2 linked regions of the Elephas maximus indicus genome follow. The protein of the gene in region 1 purifies or fractionates together with the protein of each later gene. This does not show direct contact. Links are inferred from orthologs where the notes say so. Each region holds a gene or a part of one and is shown on either strand. Other genes may lie near its edges.

Region 1 (11,466 bases):
GTGGGTGAGGGACCACAGGAAATTAACGGCTGAAACTAAGCTCTTTGTGAAAAACACACTAAAGTTAGCCTATTCCATGTTTTGACATTTCTTAATTCTTAAAGTCCTTCCTTAAACTGAATACTATCTATTGAAATAAAGTGATTTTGAAAAACAAGATAACAGCTTTACTTAGATTTCAGATATTAAAGTATCCTAGCTAAAACATTTACGGCCCACAAACATACATCTGTTACTCTTTATATTCTTCTAAAATCCAACAAAAACTAAACACATAAAAAGTAGTCCACTCAAGAAGAGGGAATATATTTCACCCCGCAAGTTTTAACAGTTTTAAAACATGCATATGTTTTGTAAGATGCTCTCTTAAAACTACAGTATTTTCTCAATATTGAAAAACTAACCTCTCCTTAATTTAGTTTGAGAATCATCTGGCTTTTCTGTACAATTTATTAATCCACTTTAACTTTTCTTAATAAAAGTTGTACTTTAAAAATCGGAAATAAAAAAGCTCTGATAAAAGCATCTAAGAATGGAATTAAAACAAAATATGAAAACAATATAAGGTAGAGCATAATATCCTGCCCCCAGTTAGAGGCCCCATAAATAATTTGAGAAAAGCAGAACAGAAGCTTACTACTGGAGATTTAAAACTCTAGCTTCCATGTTTAAAACCAATTTTATCTTCCTCACCAACCCGTGGTCTCTCCTGACTTTCCAAACCAGCTAATGGTACTGTCTGTTCCCTATTCTGAAAATCTTAACAGTATTTTTTTTTTTTTTGTCTTCTTTATCCCTAAATTCAGTCAGAGATCCATCAAATCTAGTTAGCTCTTTTTTTTTTTTCTTTTCTTGCTGACCTATTCTTTCCCCTGCCTCCAGGTCCTACTCTAATTTCACCTCACGCTGACACCAATGCAAGAGCGTCTTGTCTCCCCTTTAGCCATACTGGACACTGTTACCAAATAATTTTCCAATAATAAATCTTGTGTATATCATATCCCTGTGTCTATTAAAAAAAACTCAACAAAACTAAAATTGAAAGGAAATCTACATGGAAAAATACCTACAGCAAATTACTACTAAGTATTATATAATAGAACAATTACAGAATAAAACATTAAGACTCTAATAAATAACCGGACAGAAAAAATACACAACGTACAAAAATCAGTTAGTGAAACCACAGCAAAAAAGTTCCATCTCACTAGTTGACAAAGGGGGAAGGTCAACATTTTTTTGTACCTATTAAATTATTAAAAATGATAACAGACTATGTGATGCTGCTGAGGGTGTGGCAAACTAAAATCACAGTGCGGGTGACAGTGTAAATTATTGTAACCCTTTTCAAAAACAAAATGGCAATGCTTTAAGTCATAAAAAGTTCATGTAGTGACCCTTAAGTTGATCCTAAGAAAACAGTCCAAATCATAGAAAATACTTATGCACATAGATAATTGTAGCACAGTACTGAAGGATTAGAAACTGAATAAAATAGACTGACACAGACTATGCAGTCACATTGAATGCTTGTTACAATGTTAAATGAACAGCAAAAAAAAGAAAATTAAGACTTAAAAAAGAACATGCATACAGGTAAGGAAAAAAAGAACTTTACAGAGTTAAAGGTGATTTTTTTTGTTTTTTAAAATTCCATTATTATTTGTGAAGTCTGAAAATAAAACAGAAAATCTTCAATTTCTTCTCATAATCCAGCTTTCAAAGCCTTCTAGAGGTTCCCAAACCTGTATAGAGAACAAGTAGCCCAAATGATTCTGATGTTGCAGGTAACCCTGTAAATGTGGACAGGTTGGCCTCACAACCTTCTCAACCTAATTTTCAGCCAATCATCATCTCCAAACTGACTTACACTGTCCTGGACCCACGTTGCCTTACACAATCCCATTTCTGCCCACCATCTTCCATTCAATTCGAATGCCTTCTTTTCATCTAATTTTCTAGATCGCATCTCACTAACCTCAAAGAACCTTCACTACTAAAGATGATGATTTGTTCTGCCTTCTACAGGAATTTGTCTTTTAAAAATCTCTAGATCTGACTCCGTACTGTACTTTGACAAATCTATTGATCTTTATTAGCCATTATTAAATCTTAAACATCAAACCCATTTGGCCACAAAGTTTCCTTTGGTTACAATCATGTAATTTCCCAAAATATAACTAAATCATTAGAAAAGCAGCTACATTCAATAGTCATCAGTTCGGCTTCTCAACAATATACTGAAGTTTACAGAAATAACTGCACAGTGAAAAAAAATTCTTTTTCACAAGAGTTACATATATATGATAACAGCACGGGGATAGTTAAATAAGATTACATACCAGGAACAGAATTTTCAACACGCATAGCAGATCTAAGTCTTTAAAACTGGAAATCCGAGCTTCATTTTTTCACAAAAACCAGGCTTGTTCTAAAAGACAAAGACTTCTTTTAGAGTATGTTACAGTCCACACTGCAAAACACAGAACTCTGGAGTCTGATTTCAAAATAGGTTTATATAATAGAAGCATTATTAAAAAATGACAATTTTGATTTTGTAGGAAAAATTTAAAATCACCTGTAAAATCATTAGGAAACTTTAAGAACACATATTCTCAGTTTCAGCTCATTCAAATACGTTACATAAAAATAATTCTATCATACTTTATTTTCTTTCATTTATACCATGGTCTAATTCACTGTTCAGGAGTCCCTGGGTGACACCTGACTACTAGCCAAAAGGTTCGCAGTTTGAACCCACGTGAGGTGCCTTGGGAGACAAGCCTGACAATCTGCTTCCAAAAGGTCACAGGCTCGAAAATCCTACGGAGCAGGTCTAATGCGCATACATAGGGTTGCCGTGAGTTAGAATCAACTTGACGGCAGCCAACAACAACTAGCCGTTCTGTTAATATTCATGTGCAAGTACTTCCCAATAAAATATCATAAAATCCTTTAAAAAAAAAAAGGATCGAGAAATTACAAAACATTTCAAGTAACTACTACTTTGATACATTTTTAATGGGTTCTACATTTTATTAGCAGTTGAAACGCAATTCAGCATTAAATCAAGTATTTGGAATGTTAAAAAAGAAAATCTGAAGGTTACGAAAGCACTTGTGCAGTATCGTTAATTCTCAGAAGAAAATTTCTATAAAGAAATACTAGTTTATCTTACATATTTTGCATACAAATATGCATAGACTGATAAGAAATACTTACAGAGCACCTAACAAGTAAGGGAACATAACGATGAAAATAGTTGCTGCCCTCTGGGAGCACTCTCAAAGGGGGAAAGAGTTAAACGATTCCAATTAATGTGTGATCAGAAGAGGCGTGTAAATGGTCCAATGAGGGTACAAAAGCGCTGAGGGAATCCACCTAAGAATGTGGAACTTTAGACAGGGGTACCCAGAAACATAAAGTAATTAAACTCAACTAACCATACCATAAGAGCAATCTGTTTGTTCTTAGTATATTCCAAATACCACTTCTGTTGTAGCAAAATGTTTCACTGTACGAATGTTCAACTATCCTAAAGATCCACTTCAGAAGCACCTAACAGAAAAAACAGTTCAAAAAACATTCCTAACCAATGACATAAAATAACGTGTACTGATGAGAAGCTAGTTTGTTCTGTAAACCATCCAAAGTTCAATTAAAAACCAAAAACGAGGGGAAAAAAAATCACTCCTAAGGCCTAAAAAAAATTCTCAAATTTACATGTAACTTCATGATTGTAATAATTCCATTTGATGGTGAGTCATGAATAAACAGATTCAGGAGTGAAAGCTCCTGACACACCTGAGATTGCCGTGTGTCAGAATCAACTCGACAGTAACTGATCTGGTACCAAATTTTAATTATGAGAAACAGAAATATTTAAAATAAGGAATACAAACCGAGAAACTGCAAAATCCTTTCAGACTGCAGATCTGAACGACAACCTCAAGTAAAAAGTGGTCAGCACAACGCTGTACAGAATGCCAACCTTTATGATTCTCAGGGATACTTGTACTGGATTTATTTTTCTACCTATAATGTTTTATATTTCTGCTTGTGCTCTATTAAATTTTGACTCTCTAAAAAAACAAAAATAGAAAAATAGAAACTTGGGGGAAAAAGCAGTAAAAAGAAGCAGGATAAAAAACATAATTGCAGCAGAAGTAAAAGCTTTCTGATAGACAATTATACAAGTATCAAAAGCCTTAAATGTATAATCCCTTTGGTCTTATATTTCCACTTCTAGGAATTTATTCCAAAGAAATAATTAGGGATGTGAAGGAAGATCTAGATGACTAGAAATTTTAGTCAGTGATGTCAATCATTAGGTAAAATATTTTGCAAAACATATACAAGAACGCTCAGTGACACGTTACTGCTCTTCAGTAAAATTAAGACAGGTTTTATAAATTATCTAGCCTATACAGTTGGACAATATTTCCAATGTGCCCAATGTTTTCCATAAAGAGAAAAAACATGAGTGGCAAAATACACAACCAGACTGTGAAACAAAACAAACCAGAATCCCTCCATAAGTACAGCATAAAACGTGATTACCTTTTGGTAGAGAGAATATAAGAGATGGTTTTCTTCCTTGGGCTTTTTATAATTTCCAAAAGCCTACTCACCTGCATTATTTATATTAGATAATAATTTAAAGTTGGGCAGTGGAATTATAGGTGATTACCCCCTGGGAAATTCAGAAGCATTATATTGCTTTAGCATTTCCTTAAAAAATAAGAAAATCACTTCTAAATACTTACTGACAAGATTGTCTTCATATGCTAAGTTTTTACACAGGAGAAAAAAATCATGAAAATGTTCAGTGTTTCATGATAAAAATATTAAATACTTAAAAATCCAGAGATGAGAACTACCTGAATGGGTAAAGAAACATATAAGGCTGACCTAATTTCCTAATTTTTCAATTTCATCCTAAACTATCACATCAGGCAGCTCATATGAACCCTCTGCCAAACAAAATATCTTTCAACTACTATTCTTCCATACTATCATTCATGGCTCTCCTCTAGTGGTTCACAGAAAACTTTTCCATGTGGGTCTCCCCAATTCTAAAAATTTTTACAGGTATCAGGACTCACCTCAGTAATATCTGGATATTTGTCATTGAGATGTCCTATACTTTCCTCAACACAACTGCCAAAAAGAAACAGTAATAAATTAAGTCACTCAACCATTTTTTAGTCTTGAGCCCCACCAACAAAACAATAGGGTTTAAAACACTGGTATTATGAGGATAATTATAAGATATGCATCTTGGAAACTCTATGGGGCAGTTCTACTCGGTCCTCTAGGATCGCTATGAGTCAGAATCACTCGACAGCACTGGGTTTGGTTTGGGTTTTGGTATCCAGGTAAGTGTGGCCAGTCACTCAACAGAAAATACTGACATACATTTCACGTAATAAATAATCTTCTGAAAAATCACTGCTATGAATAAAAAGGTTCAGGTTTAAATTCCCTTATTGAGTAAAATCAGTCCACGTGGATTATCGAAAATATCTCACATTTTTTATTATCTGAGTCTTTAAAAGTACTTCTTAATGAATACTCTAATGCCACCACTTAAAATCTGTAAGTTTTTGTTTCACTCAACAGAGGAGTTTGCTAAAAGAATACCAATAGCTGCCCTTAACTATTCTTATCAGCGAGGTCCGAATGTATTTCAAGACCCTACAAAATCATTACTGTTTCCTTTCAAAAAGTAGCTCGAGCCTTGTGCAGTGTAGCTTAGCCACTTGTCCAAGGTCACAGAAGCAGCGTCAGTGCTGGCAAGCAAATTCCTCAGCATTTGGATACCCAGAGCATTCCTCAGTTTCCTCACAGCTTTGTCACGCGAGGAGCACGCGGAAAACCCTCTCCCCACGTAGGATGTGTCTGAGTAAGAACCATTCCTTTCCCGTCTTAAGGTGGCCCCCACAGCCAGTGACGCTCAGCTGGAGAATATGTCTATTCTAAACTGAGGAAGGACTGCTGGGACAATAGCAAACTCAAGAAAACCTTCCCAACTCTTGAGATCACCACCCAGAAAGCGACGCGCTCGTCTCCTCCGCCTCTTCATCTGTCGCGCGGCGAGTAAGCCTCGCCCCCTTTCCTCCCACCGCCCCCCCCCCCCGCCCCGAGGCAGAGAGAATTTACTTTGCCATGGCTGTCGTGTGGCCCCTCCACTTCCGGTGCCGCTAAAGCTGCGCCATTCCCCAGTCAGGCAGGCTACCATAGCCTCCAACTGACCTTTTTGAAGGGTCCGTGACTCTTCCGCTATTCACTGAGTGGTGTCCTGGAGGGAACGGTAAATAGGTCCCGCACTAAAATGAACCTACCGGATAGACGCTCCAATCCCTTCTCGCCAGAAACATAAAATGCGATAGAGCTGTGGCCACCGCTGCCGAGACAAAATGGCGCCGAGAAGCCGCCTTAGCGCAGGCGCCTTAGAAAGACTCTGCCCCGCCCCCTTGCGAGCCCCTGGCCGCTGCTCCAGGTTCTGTTTCCATGGGACACTTCGGCGCCAATCCTCGTGCCGAACTGCTCTTCCTGACCCCTCAATTCACCAATCAGTGCTCAGTCAAGCACATCCGGAGTCGTTTTTACCAATCATTTCTCAGGACTTGCTTACTCAATACCTTACCTTCCAATAGCACTGGCCTTCGAAGATGGCCAATCATAAGTGGACGATGTCCTACCTGCTGTTTTTCGCACCAATCCGTGAAGTTTCAGAGCTACATCCAATGAGGACGGCAGCTAGCGAGCTCCAATCCGAAGCTCTTCGGCGTCATGAGCAGCCAATAGGAGTTCGTGTAGGAGCGAGTCTGCTCAACAGCTTGTTATTTGGTGGATTGTGGCAGTAAATCGGGCGAGTGGGGGACCGGGCGCAGGAACTGCTGCCGCGGCCGGTAGAGGTGCTGCCCGGACCGGGGCCCGCGGGGGGCCAGTGGGGGCAGAGCACTGGGGAGCTGACAGCGCGCACTTCACCCGCACTCGGTAGGTGGGGAGAAGGGAAGCGAAGGATACTGAATGGAGGAAGCAGTAGCAGCTGGTGCTCCTGCCCGGGGTCCCGGTGCAGTTGGAAGCTTTGGAGGCGTTGGAGGGGGGTGCCAGGCAAGCGGCGCAGCGAGCACAGGGGAAGGGGCAAGTCGTGGAGCAGTGGCAGCAACTGCAGGAACTGCCGCTGCAGCCGCCTCCTCGACCGCCTCCCCGTGTTCCCCGGGAAAATGGCTGTGGGGCTGGCCGCGCCGCTAAGTTTGCTTCCGCGCGGTGAGGAGCGGGTTGCTCCGGGGAGCCGGCCTCCAGCTCCACGGTGCGTCCTCTCCCGTAGTGTCCGTGGCAGGACCGGAGGGGCTGGGGGCTGGTGCCTCTCTCGAGCTGTACAAAAAGTTGAGGCGGGCGCGGGGAGGAGGCGGTGGCTGCCGCTGTGCGGCTCCCCTCCCCTCCCACACCCTGTCCCGGCCACCTCCCCTCCTCCTCTCCGCCCCCCGAGCCCCCTCCCCCTCGCGTATCTCCTCTCACCTCTCCGGGCTTCGGGCTGAAGGCCGCGGCCCCTGCCACTTCGGGGTGAAGAAGCGCTTCGGTTTCCTGACATGGTGCAGAGTGAAGGAAGGAGAGCAATGGCGCCGTGACACTCCGTTGCCTCCACCGCGGGCCCGGGGCGGGCCGAGGGGCCCGAGCGGCGGAGGCGGGTCGCGGGCCTAAGTCGAGAGTATCCGGGGGGCGGCTGAGAAAAGGCTCGGCGACCTTCCGTCTGGTGGGCTGTGGGAACCCGAAACGCGCACTGCCCTTCTCCAGCGCGACCCGTCCCGGGGCTCCGAGTTCAGCATTCCCAGTCAAAGTGGCGAGCGAGGCGGGGGCGCGGTGGGCCGCTGACGAACTCCGGGGCGGAACGGGCTGCCCTTTGGCGCCTCGAGGGTTCTTGCTGCCCCTCTGCCCCTGCGTCCTGGCCGCCCTCCGAGGGGATCTTATCCCTTTGCTGGTGAGGCTTCTGCCCCTCCCCGCTGGCGTTTGTTTACTTTCTTTCCCTGGGTCGCTCCCCGCTTTTGGCTGACTCTGTGCCTGTCTTTCCCCTCCCCATGATTCTAGCGACAGTGAAGATAGCTCGTTGAGCTGGAACCCCACAGATCACCAATAAAAATGAAGGTAAGTAGAATCAGTGCTACTCTGGATCTCGAGATGTCCCTGGCCACTGCCTGTCGTGAGGCTCCTGCCGTGGAATGTCATTTTTTTTGGTTCTCAAAATTGATTACTAAGCAGCACTTAATGAAAATGAGGACGTGTTGAATGGCTGAGAAATGATCAGTGTATCTAAATGCAGACGGTTCAGCCCCTTTCTGAAGCAGTTAGCGCTTTGGAAAGGCTGGTGCAACCTTTCAATTGTCCATTGGGCTAGTATTTTTAAACACTTCCTGTGTTGGCAGCAACCGTCGCAGAAGTAAAGCTTTTGTCCTGCTTTGGTGCTTTGGGGGATTTTTTGAAAATTTTTTTTCTTCTGTGCCAATGCAATTTGCTAAGAGAAAGAATATGGGGATTGAGTAAGGGGTATATGTCTTCTGGGGATATAGCGAAATTCCGGGCTAAAATATTTAAGTTGTACTAAAACTAATAATAGTTTTACTCCAATTTTCATAGTAAATTTTTTTTTTAAATATATCCAACCTAAAAAAAAAAATTCTTCGGAAGACAACTAATCTTGCAAACATCAGCATATGATATTTAAAGGGGAAGGTATCCTAACATTCTGGAGCGCTGTGGCACTCAATGTTTCAGTTTGGGTATTTTTTTGTGGAAAGCATTCCTCTTCATTTTGCATTCTTTGTAAATCCATTACCTTTAAAAGGTACCAGATTCCCGACTCGTTTACTGTTTCAGTGTATTAAGCTCTGAAACGTGTATGTGGCATTTTCCAAAACTTTCTTTTTCTTTCCTATCTTCTTGCACTAAGTGACACATCTAACCTTCTTTAATGTTACTAGGAAAAATAAAAAGCCTTTTTTTATTTTTTAAACTTAATCTGTCTCTAAAGTGTACACTGTTACCTTTGCACTCAGCAATGTTGAATTTGGAACTTAGCTTTAGGAAAAAATAGGCAAAATGACAGATTGAGATAGCAATCATTTTATTATTGTCAAGATCAAAATTAATGGTAAAATAAAATTTCTTGCATCGTTCAATGTATCATTCTAATCATGGCCATTAGACATTTCTTAGCGAAGCTCGTTTTTTATACCAGGATTACCAGTTCTGTAAGCTAGGTAGGGCTACAGTCTTGAGACATCAGTTCCCATCTCTGCGTTCATTAGCTGTATTTAGACTTAAACTTTTTATATGCCCCTTTCAACCAAAAAATTTTCCGAATAATAATCTCCTTGTCAGGATGGTTGTCTTCATTTCTTATATGTATAGTTACACTGTATCTAAGGTACAGGCTTTATGTAGCTATGTTAATAAACCTTTAATTGCATATTGTTAGTATTAATTTTAATAGCAATATTTCTTTTAATTTGAAGACAACATTTTGAGGAGACCATAAATGAATGGTTTAAAATTTTATGGGAAATGTCAAATGAATATAGTTTTCCTCTTTTTTATTGTTTTTCTGTATTTTATATAAATTGTAGAACTGTTGAACCATTTTATATCTATAAAAAATTATTGTATTTTCTTACTGATACTTTGTGATTACAACTATAAAACATCTTCTATTAGATAAGGACATCCAGTGTATAAAGAGCTATTTAATAAAATGTTGGCTTTAAGGGTATTTTTCTAATTATTAATGATATTAATAAGCAAATAATTTTAGCATTCCTTTCATTTTAAATACAGAACCTTTAAACGAGTCTTGAAGCTGAAGTAGGAAAAATTTTTATTTTTATTTTTAAATTTTATGATCCTTTCATCAGGCGGCGGATGAGCCTGCCTACCTGACAGTGGGAACTGATGTCAGTGCCAAGTACCGAGGTGCCTTCTGTGAGGCAAAGATTAAGACTGTGAAGAGGCTGGTAAAAGTTAAGGTAATCTTTTTTTTTTTTTTAATGTAACAGTTTTATTAACTCTGGACTGAAGAGAGTTGAGGAGGGGGAGACTACGAATCAACATATTTTATTTATTGAATTATTACTGTGTAAATGCACTGTTATGTACTGAACTTTAGAAAAGGCACATTATGACTTGAGAAATAAAGAACTCAAAATGAGAGATTATTTCAAAATGTTTTTACCAAAATACCCTGCCCATACTTCCTAGTATTTAGATCTTCCCTATTCATGGCAGTGTACTTACTTATAGTCTTGTTTTCTCCTGTTTGATGTTTAGGTAGAGACGATTTCAGTGGTTAGGAAAAACAAGACAGTGGAAATTGTTTTCAAAAGATTGTCAAAAATGAATCAAGTCTAGTCTATGACTAGAGAAAAGTTAACACATTCTCCCTGTAAAAGATTCAGAAATATGGAAAAAGAACAGGAATAACATCCATAGTTTATGTCTCAGAAATATTATCGTAAACATTATTGTGCTTATTTATGATAATTTTCATATATAAATATATATTAAGTAATCTTTGTTATGTAACTTATAGAAGTAAGCAATGCTTATTATAAACATTTTTAACGCTACGAAGCTATGTAATATAGCTTATGAAAGTCCTCCTTTCTACCACTCCCAATAGATTTGGCTTGGTCCTCCAGATTTTTTACCATGGCTCTCATAAAGTTATTATTATTATTACTGGATTACTTGGAGTTTTGCAGTTTGCTTTTCCCACTTAACACATTTGATGATTTCCTGCCGGAAAGAAGTGCTGTGAAAGGAGGAAATGTCTGACTTGCTGTATGCCCAGTAGAGCAGTACCTGGTACATAGTGGGCATTCAGAATTTGTCAAGTGAGTGAATGAACTAGAGGAGTGTGATTTGTGTGGTAGATAAATAGATTTATCTATGATTAGTATAAAATTTCTGTTTAAACTTTGGTCTGCTTATGAAACTTCTTTCAGGGTTAAGATGTCACATGGCATTCATTTTTTTCCTGTGATTTCTTTTTACTCTTACAGAGCATTTTTATATAGCCTTTTTACTATGTTAGCTATACAGGATTTGTTTACTAAGTATTCGGGATTATTTGAAGCTTATAACTTTTTGTTAGTATTGTGTTTCTTAATGTTTATTCATTTTTTAATTTTAAATCAATACTACGATTGTTGGAGGAGGTCTTATAATACATGTATTACCTAGAATTTGAATTTTCTTATTTGGGTAATTGCTCTATTATGGTTGCTTACTCTGTATATCTGGCAGGAGCTGTAGTAGAAAAGAGCATTTGTTTGTAAGTGAATTACATACTATGGTTATTATTCTGGTGTACTTTACAAAGGATAAAAGAGTTCTGGTTTTATTTTCCTTGCATATAGGCAGTAGAGCTTGATACTGTTTTTTGATGTACTTGGTGACAAATCAGAA
Region 2 (11,405 bases), on another chromosome or scaffold:
GCACACCTTTTCTGACTTTAAACCATGAAGTATCCCCTTGTTCTGTTCCAACAACTGCCTCTTGGTCTATGTACAGGTTCCTCATGAGCACATTTAAGTGTTCTGGAATTCCCCTTCTTTGCAATATTCTCCATAATTTATTGTGACCCACACAGTCGAATGCCTTTGCAGAGCCAATAGACACAGGTAAACATCCTTCTGGCACTCTTGCTTTCAGCCAGGATCCATCTGACATCAGAACGATATCCCTCGTTCCACATCCTTTACTGAATGCGGCTTGAACTCCTGGCAGTTCCTTGTCAATGTCCCGCTGCAGTCATTTTTGAATCATCTTCAGCAAAATTTTACTTGGGTGTGAAATTGATATTCTTCAATAATTTCTGCATTCGACTAGAACACCTTTCTTTGGGATGGGCACAAATATAGATCTCTTCCAGTCATTTGGCCAGGTAGCTGTCTTCCACATTTCTTGGCACAGATGAGTGAGCACCTCCAGTGTTGTATCTATTTGTTGAAACATCTCAGTTGGTATTCCGTCAATTCCTGGACCCTTGTTCTCTGTCCATGCCTTCGGTGCAGCCTGTTCTGGTGTACATAGGGTCGCAGTGAGTCAGAACCAACTTAATGGCACCTAACACCAACAAAAACAATTTCATGCTATGTGAATTTTACCTCAAATTTTTAAAAAAGATATTATAAAACAAAAAGAGAGAAAGAAGGAGAGAGACTACTTATCCTGCTTAAGTCCATGCAAAGTCAGATTCCAACTTCAGAGCCCATACTCTGCCTGCCCTGCTGCCAAGAAAAGTCTCTCCAGAGACCCCAGGGTGTCTTAAGGGAAGTCAAGCATTAACTTGTTTGGTTCAGACGAGAATTCAGTCCTTCCCCCACTTGAAGACAGAGGACTCCCTCCAGACTGAGGTGGTTCTGAAGGTTTTAGAGGGTTAGGAGCTCCAGAGCCAGGCTATGAGGGCCATGTTGCATGTAGAGAGATTGAGGAGGAAGACAGCATTATGGGAGGAGGGAGAAGAGCATGGGGCAGTGTTAAGGGTTGAATTGTGTCCTCCAAAAACGTGTGTTGGAATCCATGTGGAAAGGAGCCCTGGTGATGCAACGGTTAAGCACTCTGCTGCTAACCCAAAGGTTGGTGGTTCAAACTCACCCAGTGGCTGCCCAGGAAAAAGGCCTGGTGATCTGCTCCATAAAGGCTTACAACCAAGAAAACCCTCTGGGACACTTCTACTCTGTCACACAAGGTCACTATGAGTCGAAAATCTACTGGATGACATCCAACAACAACATCCCAGGGGATGTAATCTCATTTGACAGTAGGGTTTCTTTGTTATGTTAATGGGGTCATACCATTTTTAGGGTGTTTCTTAAGCCAATCATTTTTGGCATATGAAAGAAACAGATTAGGCACAGAAGACAGCAAGTAGAGGTGGGAAGATAGATGTCACATCACAAGAACAACAAGCAACTGTGGAGCAGAGGCTGAAAAGAGACAAGGACCTTCCACCGGAGGTGACAGAGAGAGAAGGCCTTCCCCAACAGCCGGCACCCTGAATTTGGACTTCTAGCCTCCTAAACTGTGAGAAATAAATTTTTGTTTCTTAAAGCCACCCATTTGTGGTATTTCTGTTATAGCAGCACCAGATAACTAAGACAGGTAGGTCCACTGTGAGGTCACGAGTTGAGACTGACTCGAAGACACCTAAGAACAACAAAGCCCTTGACCTGGGCAGGCATATAATAGGATCTCAGGAAATCACGAAGGCGCCCTGGTGGTGCAGTGGTTAAGCCCTCAGCTGCTAATCAAAAGATTGGCAGTCTGAACCCACCAGCTGCTCCGAGGGAGGAAGATGTGGCAGTCTGCTTCCGTGAAGATTACAGCCTTGGAAATCCTATGGGACAGCTCTACCCTGTCCTATAGGTTCACTATGAGTTGGAATCGACTCAACAGCAATGTGTTTGGTTTTTGTTTTTTTTGGGCGGGGGGCGGCTCAGGAAACCTCAGCTCATTATCCTTCACCTTGGTGAAAGTCAAGTGTCTGGGAAACTGTCTTCTACCCCTGGTGGTCCTACAGCTAAGTGCTCCTTTGCTAATCGAGAGGGGGGATGCCTGGGAAAATCTTATCCATCAAGGCAGTAAATGGGTATTGAGTGCTACCATGAAACACAAATGCTCAAGGGTCCAGGCAGACAGGGAAGTGCCAGGCTTGAGAATTTGGTAAGGAAAAGACTGTTTACAAAGGTGGAGCTCTGGACAATTGTCACCTTGCAGAACTGCAGGCCTGGCATTGCCAGATCTTCCAGGATTTTAAATCCAGAAGTTGGAAATGTGCATTTTCCGTGAAATCTTCTGACTCCCGAAAGTTAACAACTAATGTGATTCAAACTGTTATTTTTAAACACTGATCAGGCCAAAGAAAACCCATATGGGCACCACATCCAGCCCCTGAATCTCCAGTGTGCAAGGCCTGTGCTGGCAAGATCTGTGCTCACCTTTCTCCTCTCTCTTGCCACAGGTACCAGTGAAAACTCTCAAGGACAGGAGCTGTCCCATCTCAGGTGCCTAACACAGCCCCTGGCAGGGAGCAGATGTCAAGTAGGTATTATCTCACTGGGCTGCAGAATATAGGTCTCCTGGCCACTCCTCATCTCGACAATCTTCACTGACTCCCTGCTGCCTGTGGAATAGCTGGCAAACACCTCGTACTGATATTTCAGGCCCTCCCCCGTCTGTTCCAATGCACCTTCTGAAGATTCACAGCCCTTTGTCCTATATGGGAGCCCTGGCTCGGGCCGCAAAGGCCATGTGTCTAGTACATAATTATTTACATAATCGATTTGGCCTTTCAGGTCAGACCCTTCCCCACAGCCTCTTCTCTTCTAAAGATTCCATGTATCAATGAATCCACAAACGTTTATTATAGGATTTCTGGGAGAAGGGAGAGGAGACGGAGGAGTAGGCGGAATCAGTAGGCGACATAGAGTAATAATTTAAATGATCAAATATCCTTCCTAGCAAACTTCCACTCCTTCAGACAGGAGGGAACTTCTCCAATTCCTGCAGATAACACACTGAGCCTCAAGTTAGCATCGGCCAGAATCCTGGTTCTGTTCTTCTAAGTGCCACCAACTTCCGGAACCTCTTTCTAGAGAGAAAAAAAATCACACCTTTGACCGCTCCCCAGTAGGTTCAGAGACCTGGAGTGGGCAGACGCGGGAGCAGAAGTGGGAGACGCACGGCCGGCCAACAAAGAGGAGAGGGAGCCCCAGGGTAGCGCCAAGCGCAGCTCAACTCTTTTCAACTTCCTGCTTTAGACTGGTAAGATGTAGAAAATTAAGAATCACGTCTTTCGTAAAACGCGACCGACGAGGATGGGATTCGAACCCACGCGTGCAAAGCACAATGGATTAGCAGTCCATCGCCTTAACCACTCGGCCACCTCGTCCCCTACAGTGTGGCTCTCTCCACATTCTCTTATCACCCTTCTTCTCCGCGTTCTCCGAGTCCCTTCTACCCATTCTCCAGCGTAGACCCCTTAGGCTATCTACGATAAGGAGACACGGCAGAAATAAACGTTTTTTTTTGTTTTTTTTTTTCCTTTCCGCCCGCCGCAGCCGGGAATCCGGGCCATCCCTCACCAAGCTGCTGCAGAACTCTGCCACGGTTTCCCCTCCCTGACTCGGGGGCGAGCCCATCGAGGTTTCAGGACGCGCTGGGTTCAGGGGTCGCGCACGGTGGGGAGTGAGGGGGCGCGTGTCCCGGAGGACCCCTGGCGGGCCGGGAGGCGGTGGGGCGGCCGGAGCGGCAGGGGCGGCAGCAGTGGCACCGCGATCAGGAAGACTCAGTTTGCAAAGCGCGCGGACGCGGTGGCTCCTCCTCCGTCTCCGGGGCGGGCGCGCGGCCGAGGCCCGGCTGTGGGCGGTGGGCGGGGCTGCCAGGCTCGGCTGGACTCGGTTCGCCTCGGCTGCGCTCGGCACGCTGCAGTAAATCCCGGCTCCCCGCGGCCGGCAGACGCTGCGGTCGGTGGTCCCTGCTACGCACTCTGAGCCCCGAGAGCCATGCAGATGCCCTACGCCATCCGGTGCGCCTTCTACCAGCTGCTTCTGGCCGCCCTCATGCTCGTGGCGATGCTGCAGCTGCTCTACCTGTCGCTGCTGTCTGGGCTGCACGGACAGGAGGAACAAGACCAGTATTTCGAGTTCTTCCCCCCGTCCCCGAGGTCCGTGGACCAGGTCAAGGCGCAGCTCCGCACCGCGCTGGCTTCGGGAGGCGTCCTGGACGCCAGCGGTGACTACCGCATCTACAGGAGCCTGCTGAAGACCACCATGGATCCCAACGATGTGATCCTGGCCACGCACGCCAGCGTGGACAACCTGCTGCACCTGTCCGGCCTCCTGGAGCGCTGGGAGGGCCCTATGTCTGTGTCGGTGTTCGCGGCCACCAAGGAGGAGGCGCAGCTGGCCACGGTGCTGGCTTATGCGCTGAGCAGCCACTGCCCCGACATGCGCTCCAGGGTCGCCATGCACCTGGTGTGTCCCTCGCGCTACGAGGCCGCCGTGCCCGATCCCCGGGAGCCCGGGGAGTTTGCCCTTCTGCGCTCCTGCCAGGAGGTCTTTGACAAGCTAGCCAGGGTGGCCCAACCCGGGATCAATTACGCGCTGGGCACCAACGTCTCCTACCCCAATAACCTGCTGAGAAATCTGGCTCGCGAGGGGGCCAACTACGCTCTGGTGATCGACGTGGACATGGTGCCCAGCGAGGGGCTGTGGAGAGGCCTACGGGAGCTGCTGGATCAGAGCAGACAGTGGGCGGGCACGGCGCTGGTGGTGCCTGCCTTCGAGATCCGTCGAGCCCGCCGCATGCCGGTCAGTAAGACGGAGCTGGTGCAGCTCTACCAGGTGGGCGAGGTGCGCCCCTTCTATTATGGGCTGTGCACGCCCTGCCAGGCGCCCACCAACTACTCCCGCTGGGTCAACTTGCCAGAAGAGAGCCTGCTGAGGCCTTCCTACGTGGTGCCCTGGCAGGACCCCTGGGAGCCATTCTATGTGGCTGGAGGCAAGGTGCCCCCCTTTGACGAGCGCTTTCGGCAGTACGGCTTCAATCGCATCAGTCAGGTGCCCATAAGGGGAAGGCAGGGGAGGGGGGGTTGGGGAGGGGGAGACGGAGGAGGTGGAGGGGAGGAGGGGGGAAAAGGGATGGGCGAGGGGAGTAGGTCAGGGAGATACGAGGAGTGGCCCAGTGTGGAACTGAGGCAGGGAGGCCGGGTAAGATCCCAGGTCAGGAAATGGTTGGGTGGTGTGGAAAATCCAGATGCTTCCAGAAGGTTGGGGTGCTAGAGTCTGGCTTTAGGGGTGTCGATCTGGGCCCCAGGAACGTCTCTCACTTTGCTGACCTGTCTCTCACTCCACAGGCCTGTGAGCTGCACATGGCAGGGTTCAATTTCGAGGTTTTGAACGAAGGTTTCTTAGTTCATAAGGGCTTCAAGGAAGCTTTGAAGTTCCATCCCCAAAAGGAGGCTGAAAATCAGCGCAATAAGGTCCTGTACCGCCAGTTCAGACAGGAGTTGAAGACCAAGTACCCCAACTCCCCACGCCGCTGCTGAGCCCTTCCTTCCCCCGGTCTGAGAAGTTTCAGCCTCCTGACTCCTCGGGCCGCCCCTTAGGCCTGACTGGGGTAAGAAACGTCACTCCACTTTGCAGAGGGAGCTGTGGTGTTGCAACACTGGACTTGAATATGGGGTGCTAGGATCAAGTCCTAGCTTTACCACTAACTAGCTGTGTGGCCTTGAGCAAATCCCTTTACCTCTCTGAGCCTCAGTTACTCTGTCTGTAAAAAGGGAGGTGAGAATGCCTACCTCACAGAACTGTTGGGAGGCTCAGATGAGCTGTCTATGAAAACATTCTGTAAGCTTCGTACAAATGTGAAGTATTATTAATATTATTACAGTATTATTATTGTTGTTATCACTATTGTTATTAACAACCGGGGGTGTGTGAGTGGTAGGAAAGCAAAAAATGTGAATGGGACAGGGTTGAAAGTTCAGAGACATGGGGGTACTTAACGACTGGGGCTTTCTGGAAAGAAATCAGATGAAGGTGTGGAATTTGGTTCTTAGCTTTTGGGCAGAAGCCTTAACAACTCCAGCGCCTCCACCCTTGGGGGCTCTGAAGGAGGGAAGGGTCTGAAGGCTTGATGGCGATAATCCGAAAAAATCTGTACCCTCGAATAGGCTGGTGCTGGGTATTTGCCTACTGATGACAACGTGTAAATAAATGAGTGTTCACACCCACAGCTGGTTCCGTTTCTCTCCGAAGCTGGAGGGAGGGGGGCCCTGGTTTCAGCCCTTGGACGCCGGGGGCGGTTGCTGCGCACCGAAGGGCGTGGGCAGCGAAGCGAGGAAACCACGGGGGCCTTTGCCGCAGGCCGAAGCCTAATGGGAACCTCCACCGGTTGCCATGGAGACCGGCCCGCGGTATCCCAGCATGCCTCTCCCCAGCCATCCAATTGTGAGCTCTCCGGCGGGCGCCCCGAGATGACGCACACGGAAGCGCGGCGAGGCCCCGCCTCCCTGAAAAGAGGGACCTGCGCAGCGCTTCCGGGAGCCTGGCGCCGCGGCAGGTACCGGCACCCTTGGGCGCCTCTCAGGGAGACCCGGACTTGAGGCCAGGGAGCCCCCCCCCGCGGTGCGTATCGCCCCCCCCAGCCGCTGGTTGGGTCTCTCTGGGCTAGTCGGGCGCGTCCTGCCCAACCTTCTTCTCGGGGCAGAAGCGGAGACTTAACGGGCTGGACGCGTGCGGGGCCGCGGGGCCGCGGGGCCGAAGCCGGCTGCGGGGGAGCCCGCGATTCTCCCGCCCGCGCCGGTGCAACCGGAGATGAGACGAGGCCGAGCCTCCTGGGCGCGGCGAAAGGGGCCAAAGTGGGGAGGGGCCCGCCTTCCAGGGAGGCTGCCTTCCTGGAGTTCAGAGTCGGAGAAGATAGATGGCATGCCCACCGCACTTCTCAGTTTGCTTTTCCATCCCTTAACCCTTGCCAGCTTTACAACAGTCAGAGCAGGAACGGTTATCCCCGTTTTGCACACACGTAAGAAGAGGAAGTTGTGACTTAATTTACTGCTCAGTAAAATTAGAGTTAGCTGGAGGAGACACACATACACACACCCCCTCTTTTTCTGATCCGGAAAGCCTTCTGGAAGCTGTAGGACTTAGGCTGAGACTTACGGTGAAGAGGAATTGCAGATGGAGGGAACTGCAGGAACTGAAAGAGCCCTGGTGGCGCAGTGAGACTTGGAAGTGGGAAAGATGAGAGGCTGGTTTGGAGACCCGAGAAGTGGAGGAATGAACCTTCATGTCTGCTAAGGTTTTCAGGTTCGAATCCATGGTGAAATCATTGAGGAATGTGACTAAACTCTCCCCTAGGCCAGGCATTTGCCACAACTTGAATAGGTGTCAACCAGAGTTAACAGACACTTTGGGTTTGATTTCACTGCAAGGACCTGAAGCTACCAAGAAGTAAAAACCAACCTTTGACCTGCAAGAGTTTGTTTTGTTTACTTATATTTCCCAGTCCTTTATCAAGGGAGCCAGTACTGGGCTAGTTGACTAAGATGTGTTTGTAGCCCCTGCCCTGGGGAGGCACACAGAGTGGCTGGGGAGACAGAAGGAAAATGAGCAAACAGAAGGGAGATGCAAAGAAGGCTTCGTGGAGGGAGTGGAGTCTACACCAATCTAAAGGGCTGCAGAGCAGTGGCCAGCGAAGCTAGAAGAGGAGCTTAGTAAAGTAGAAGCCCCCAGGAGGCAGTGAGATTCTCTGCTGGAAGGGTGGTTAAATCCCCCCCTTAGGGGCTCTCTTGGCAGGATTAGACACTGTTGTTGGCCACTTCTTCTAAAATGTTCTCTGGCCATAGCTTTGGGGTTTTTCTTTTCTGCCTCTCCCTAATTTCCTTCTCCTTTGCGGGAGTCTCCTCAGCAGCCCTTTGGTGACCCTGGGAGTTTCATCATGGACCCCTTCTCCACACTTTCTGCTTTGGTGCCATACCTTCTCCCATGGCCTGAACAACTCACTCTATGATAGTGACCAGATCTCTGTACGGCCCAGATTTCTCTCTGAGGCTTAGACCCAGGTCCCCAACCCTCCCCCACTCCCTTCTCTCATTTCTGTATCCTTACACATGCTACTCGCTCTACCTGGAATGTTCCCTCCTGTGCTAGTCAGTTCATCCATCTGCTGTGTCTCCCCTGGCAGCCCTCACTGCTGCCCCAAGCTCCTGGTCTTAGAGGCCCCTCCCCTGTGCCCCCAGGCTTAACTCTTCTCGCACCGTGGTAGTGGTCTGCTGCTTTGCCTCTTCTCCCAGGAACGTGTAAGTTCCTGGAGATAAATACTGCCTGCCTGCCCCAGGAATTCCCCTGTACCTGCCATAGTGCCTGGCAGCACCTAGCATATATTAAGTGTTCAATAAATATTCAGTGAGGGAATACAAGGACTGCTTGGCTGTGTCTGATGTTGCTGAGAAATCAATTAAGATAGCCCCCAAAAATACTGGCAGTAGCCACAAGGAGGTTGTCGGTTAACTCAGTGGGATCCGTTTCAGCAGAGAGTGATGGGTGCAGGACCAGATGGGAGCAAATGGAAGGTGAGGAAGCAGGAAGGGCAAGTGTATACAAGGCCTTGAAAGTGGAGCTGTGGCGTGGAAAGCAGTGAAGCGGAATAGGGTGAGGTTTGGTTTGTGTTTTCGCATTTTCTTAATGGTGGAAAACACCTGAGCACATCTACGGTTTCATGGGAAGGAGCCTGCCAAGGAGAGTTGAAGCTACAGAAGAGAGGGGAGTACTGATGATGTGGGGTCCCAGAGGAAGCAGAAAATGAGAAGTGAGAGAAGGGATGGGGGGAGGGAAGGGGACCTGGGTCTAAGCCCCGGTGAAATCGCCCGCACAGAGATCTGGTCACCATCACAGGGCGAGTTGTTCAGGCCATGGAAGAGGGTGCAAACACCAAGGCAGACAGTGTGGAGTGAGAAGGGGTACATGCTGGAACTCCCAGCGTCACCAAAGGGGCTGCTGAGATACAGCCTTTGAGGAGATCTCTGCAAAGGAGAAGGAAATAACTGAGCAGAGCACGAAGACAGAGAAATGTAGAAAGCTATCAGGAAGAGAAGAGGAGTGCACGATGGGCAGAGGAGGAGGGAGAACGTGGTGTCTTTGAGGACTCACCAGTGCATGGTTGGGGCCAAGGAGCTGGGTGGGTGGTTTAGTCCAGTCTGGGAAGGGCCTTGAAAGCCTCCACTAGAAGTTTAAGCCGAGTCCCATAGGCAGGGGGAGCCCTCGGGGGCTTCTGAAAGGGAAAGAGCGCTCACGCAGAGCCCTGCTGGTTCCTGGCCTCTTGAAGAACTTACCTCGTCCTCATACCACTTCCACAGGGAGGTCACAGGCAGAGCAACTGTGGATCCTCAGGGCCACACTTACTGTTGTACCTGCAGTGTTTTCCACCTCCCTATGCCTGCTCTCATAGTGCCATCACAGCCCACCCAGCCTTTTCTGGGGGTGGGACGTTTGGGTGGTAACGCCTCGTGTCGTTGGCCTTTCCCGTTCTGTGAACTGGTGCTTGGCCAGTTCGCCCAGGATTGGGATCGCCAACGGGGTCAGAGGGCATGAGCGTTTCCATGGCTCCCACGCTCCTGGGGGAGATGTGCACCCGGAGCCATTTGCTCCCTTTCACCCAGCATGCGTCAGGGTGGCGAGGACAGTCACCTCCCTGCTGTCCCCTCTAATTGAGGGTCAGGCTGGGCTCGACTCCCTGCTCGGCCACTCAGCTCTGTACCATGGCCAGTGTTGAGTGATGGCTCCACCTGTTCTCCCAGAGCACAAATGCCCGTCCAGCCCCCAAGCAAGGACACAGAAGAGATGGAAGCAGAGGGCGACTCAGCGGCCGAGATGAACGGGGAGGAGGAAGAGAGTGAGGAGGAACGGAGTGGCAGTCAGACAGAGTCTGAGGAGGAGAGCTCCGGTGAGTGTACACACACATGTGCACACACACTTGTACACACCAATGCGCACGCACACGTGGTACCCGCCCGCTCCTCGTCAGAGGCCCTGACTGGCCTCTTGTCCCCAGAGATGGATGATGAGGACTATGAGCGACGTCGCAGCGAGTGCGTCAGTGAGATGCTAGACCTGGAGAAGCAGTTCTCGGAGCTGAAGGAGAAGTGAGCGGGCACACCTAGGGCTGGTCTTCACGGTCCTGGGGGAGGAGGCAGTAGGCTGGGTGTTGGCGGGCGGCTGAGGTCCAGAGTGAGTGAGCACCTGACCAGGGCCTGCCACGGAGCTGGGGCCCTGCGTGTATCTGCCCAAGAGCACAACGGACCGACAAGTTGGGGCTGCCTTTCACCTCCCAGGTTGTTTAGGGAGCGACTGAGCCAGCTGCGGTGGCGGCTGGAGGAAGTGGGAGCTGAGAGAGCCCCCGAGTACACGGAGCCTCTGGGGGGGCTGCAACGGAGCCTCAAGATTCGCATTCAGGTGGCAGGTGTGTGGGCTGTCCCGTGTCCTGGGGTCAGGCCCCAGTCACCCCTTGTGTCCCCCTCCTCATCCCTGCCTGCCCTGTACTCCCAGCCCTCCTCGGATACCTCAACCGCTGCCTTAGGGGGGCCCCCTTCTCCCTCTTCCACAGGCATCTACAAGGGCTTCTGTCTGGACGTGATCAGGAATAAGTATGAGTGTGAGCTGCAGGGAGCCAAGCAGCACCTGGAGGTGAGGGGCTGGGCGCCTGCAGAGGGGTGTGGGCAGGGCCTGAGGGGCCCCACCCGACTGAGCTGCTCCGGCCTCCTTCAGAGCGAGAAGCTGCTGCTGTACGACACCCTGCAGGGGGAGCTGCAGGAGCGGATCCAGAGGCTGGAAGAGGACCGCCAGAGCCTGGACATCAGCTCGGGTGAGGCGCTCTGCCAGTGCCCAGCACTCCTCTGCACGTAGCTGCCCTGACTGCACATGGGTGCAGTCATTGGCCCTGCTCCTTGAGGTCGCCAAGAGGACTGACTGAGAGCAGGCATGGAAGGGCCCAGCCCAGGGCCAGGCATGCAGTGAGGGGTTGGGCAGAGTGGGCCCCATGCCCTCCTGTCCCTGCTCTCTCCCCAGAACGGGAGGTGCGGGCCGGTACGCCCACATATGGTCACCACAGTCCGCTCCGTGTCCACAGCACCTATGTTCCTTCTTCATGTCAGTTGCTCTGCCAAGAGGCTACTGTGGAGTCCTCAGGAGGCAGCAGCTGTTATCATCACCCTGTCATCCCCCCCATCACCCTCCCCCATCTGCTGAACAAAGGAAGCACCTGGGGCTCACAGCAGTGCAGTGCCCTTTCCCATGGTGCACAGCTGTGCAGTCCGGACCTGAACTCAGGCTTCCCAGCT

Evidence for each region.
Region 2: the proteins of ARID4A (region 1) and BRMS1 purify together in Homo sapiens (affinity purification with western blotting; 3 studies listed by BioGRID and IntAct, with this or other methods). This does not show direct contact. The link is inferred for Elephas maximus indicus from reciprocal best matches to the Homo sapiens genes ARID4A and BRMS1.

Annotation. Positions count from the first base shown.
Region 1 is NC_064828.1:70,641,478-70,652,943, forward strand, and holds the start of ARID4A (AT-rich interactive domain-containing protein 4A), read left to right. Parts: upstream 1-6,908; 5' UTR 6,909-7,002; intron 7,003-7,895; exon of another isoform or gene 7,896-7,987; intron 7,988-8,094; 5' UTR 8,095-8,145; coding exon 8,146-8,151; intron 8,152-9,914; coding exon 9,915-10,025; intron 10,026-11,466.
Region 2 is NC_064825.1:129,487,342-129,498,746, reverse strand, and holds the start of BRMS1 (breast cancer metastasis-suppressor 1), read left to right. Parts: upstream 1-6,567; 5' UTR 6,568-6,696; intron 6,697-9,866; 5' UTR 9,867-9,873; coding exon 9,874-10,012; intron 10,013-10,120; coding exon 10,121-10,211; intron 10,212-10,400; coding exon 10,401-10,528; intron 10,529-10,672; coding exon 10,673-10,752; intron 10,753-10,833; coding exon 10,834-10,930; intron 10,931-11,405. Other genes in the region: B4GAT1 (beta-1,4-glucuronyltransferase 1), read left to right, coding at 4,072-5,127, 5,424-5,615. UniProt on the Homo sapiens protein: Transcriptional repressor. Down-regulates transcription activation by NF-kappa-B by promoting the deacetylation of RELA at 'Lys-310'. Promotes HDAC1 binding to promoter regions.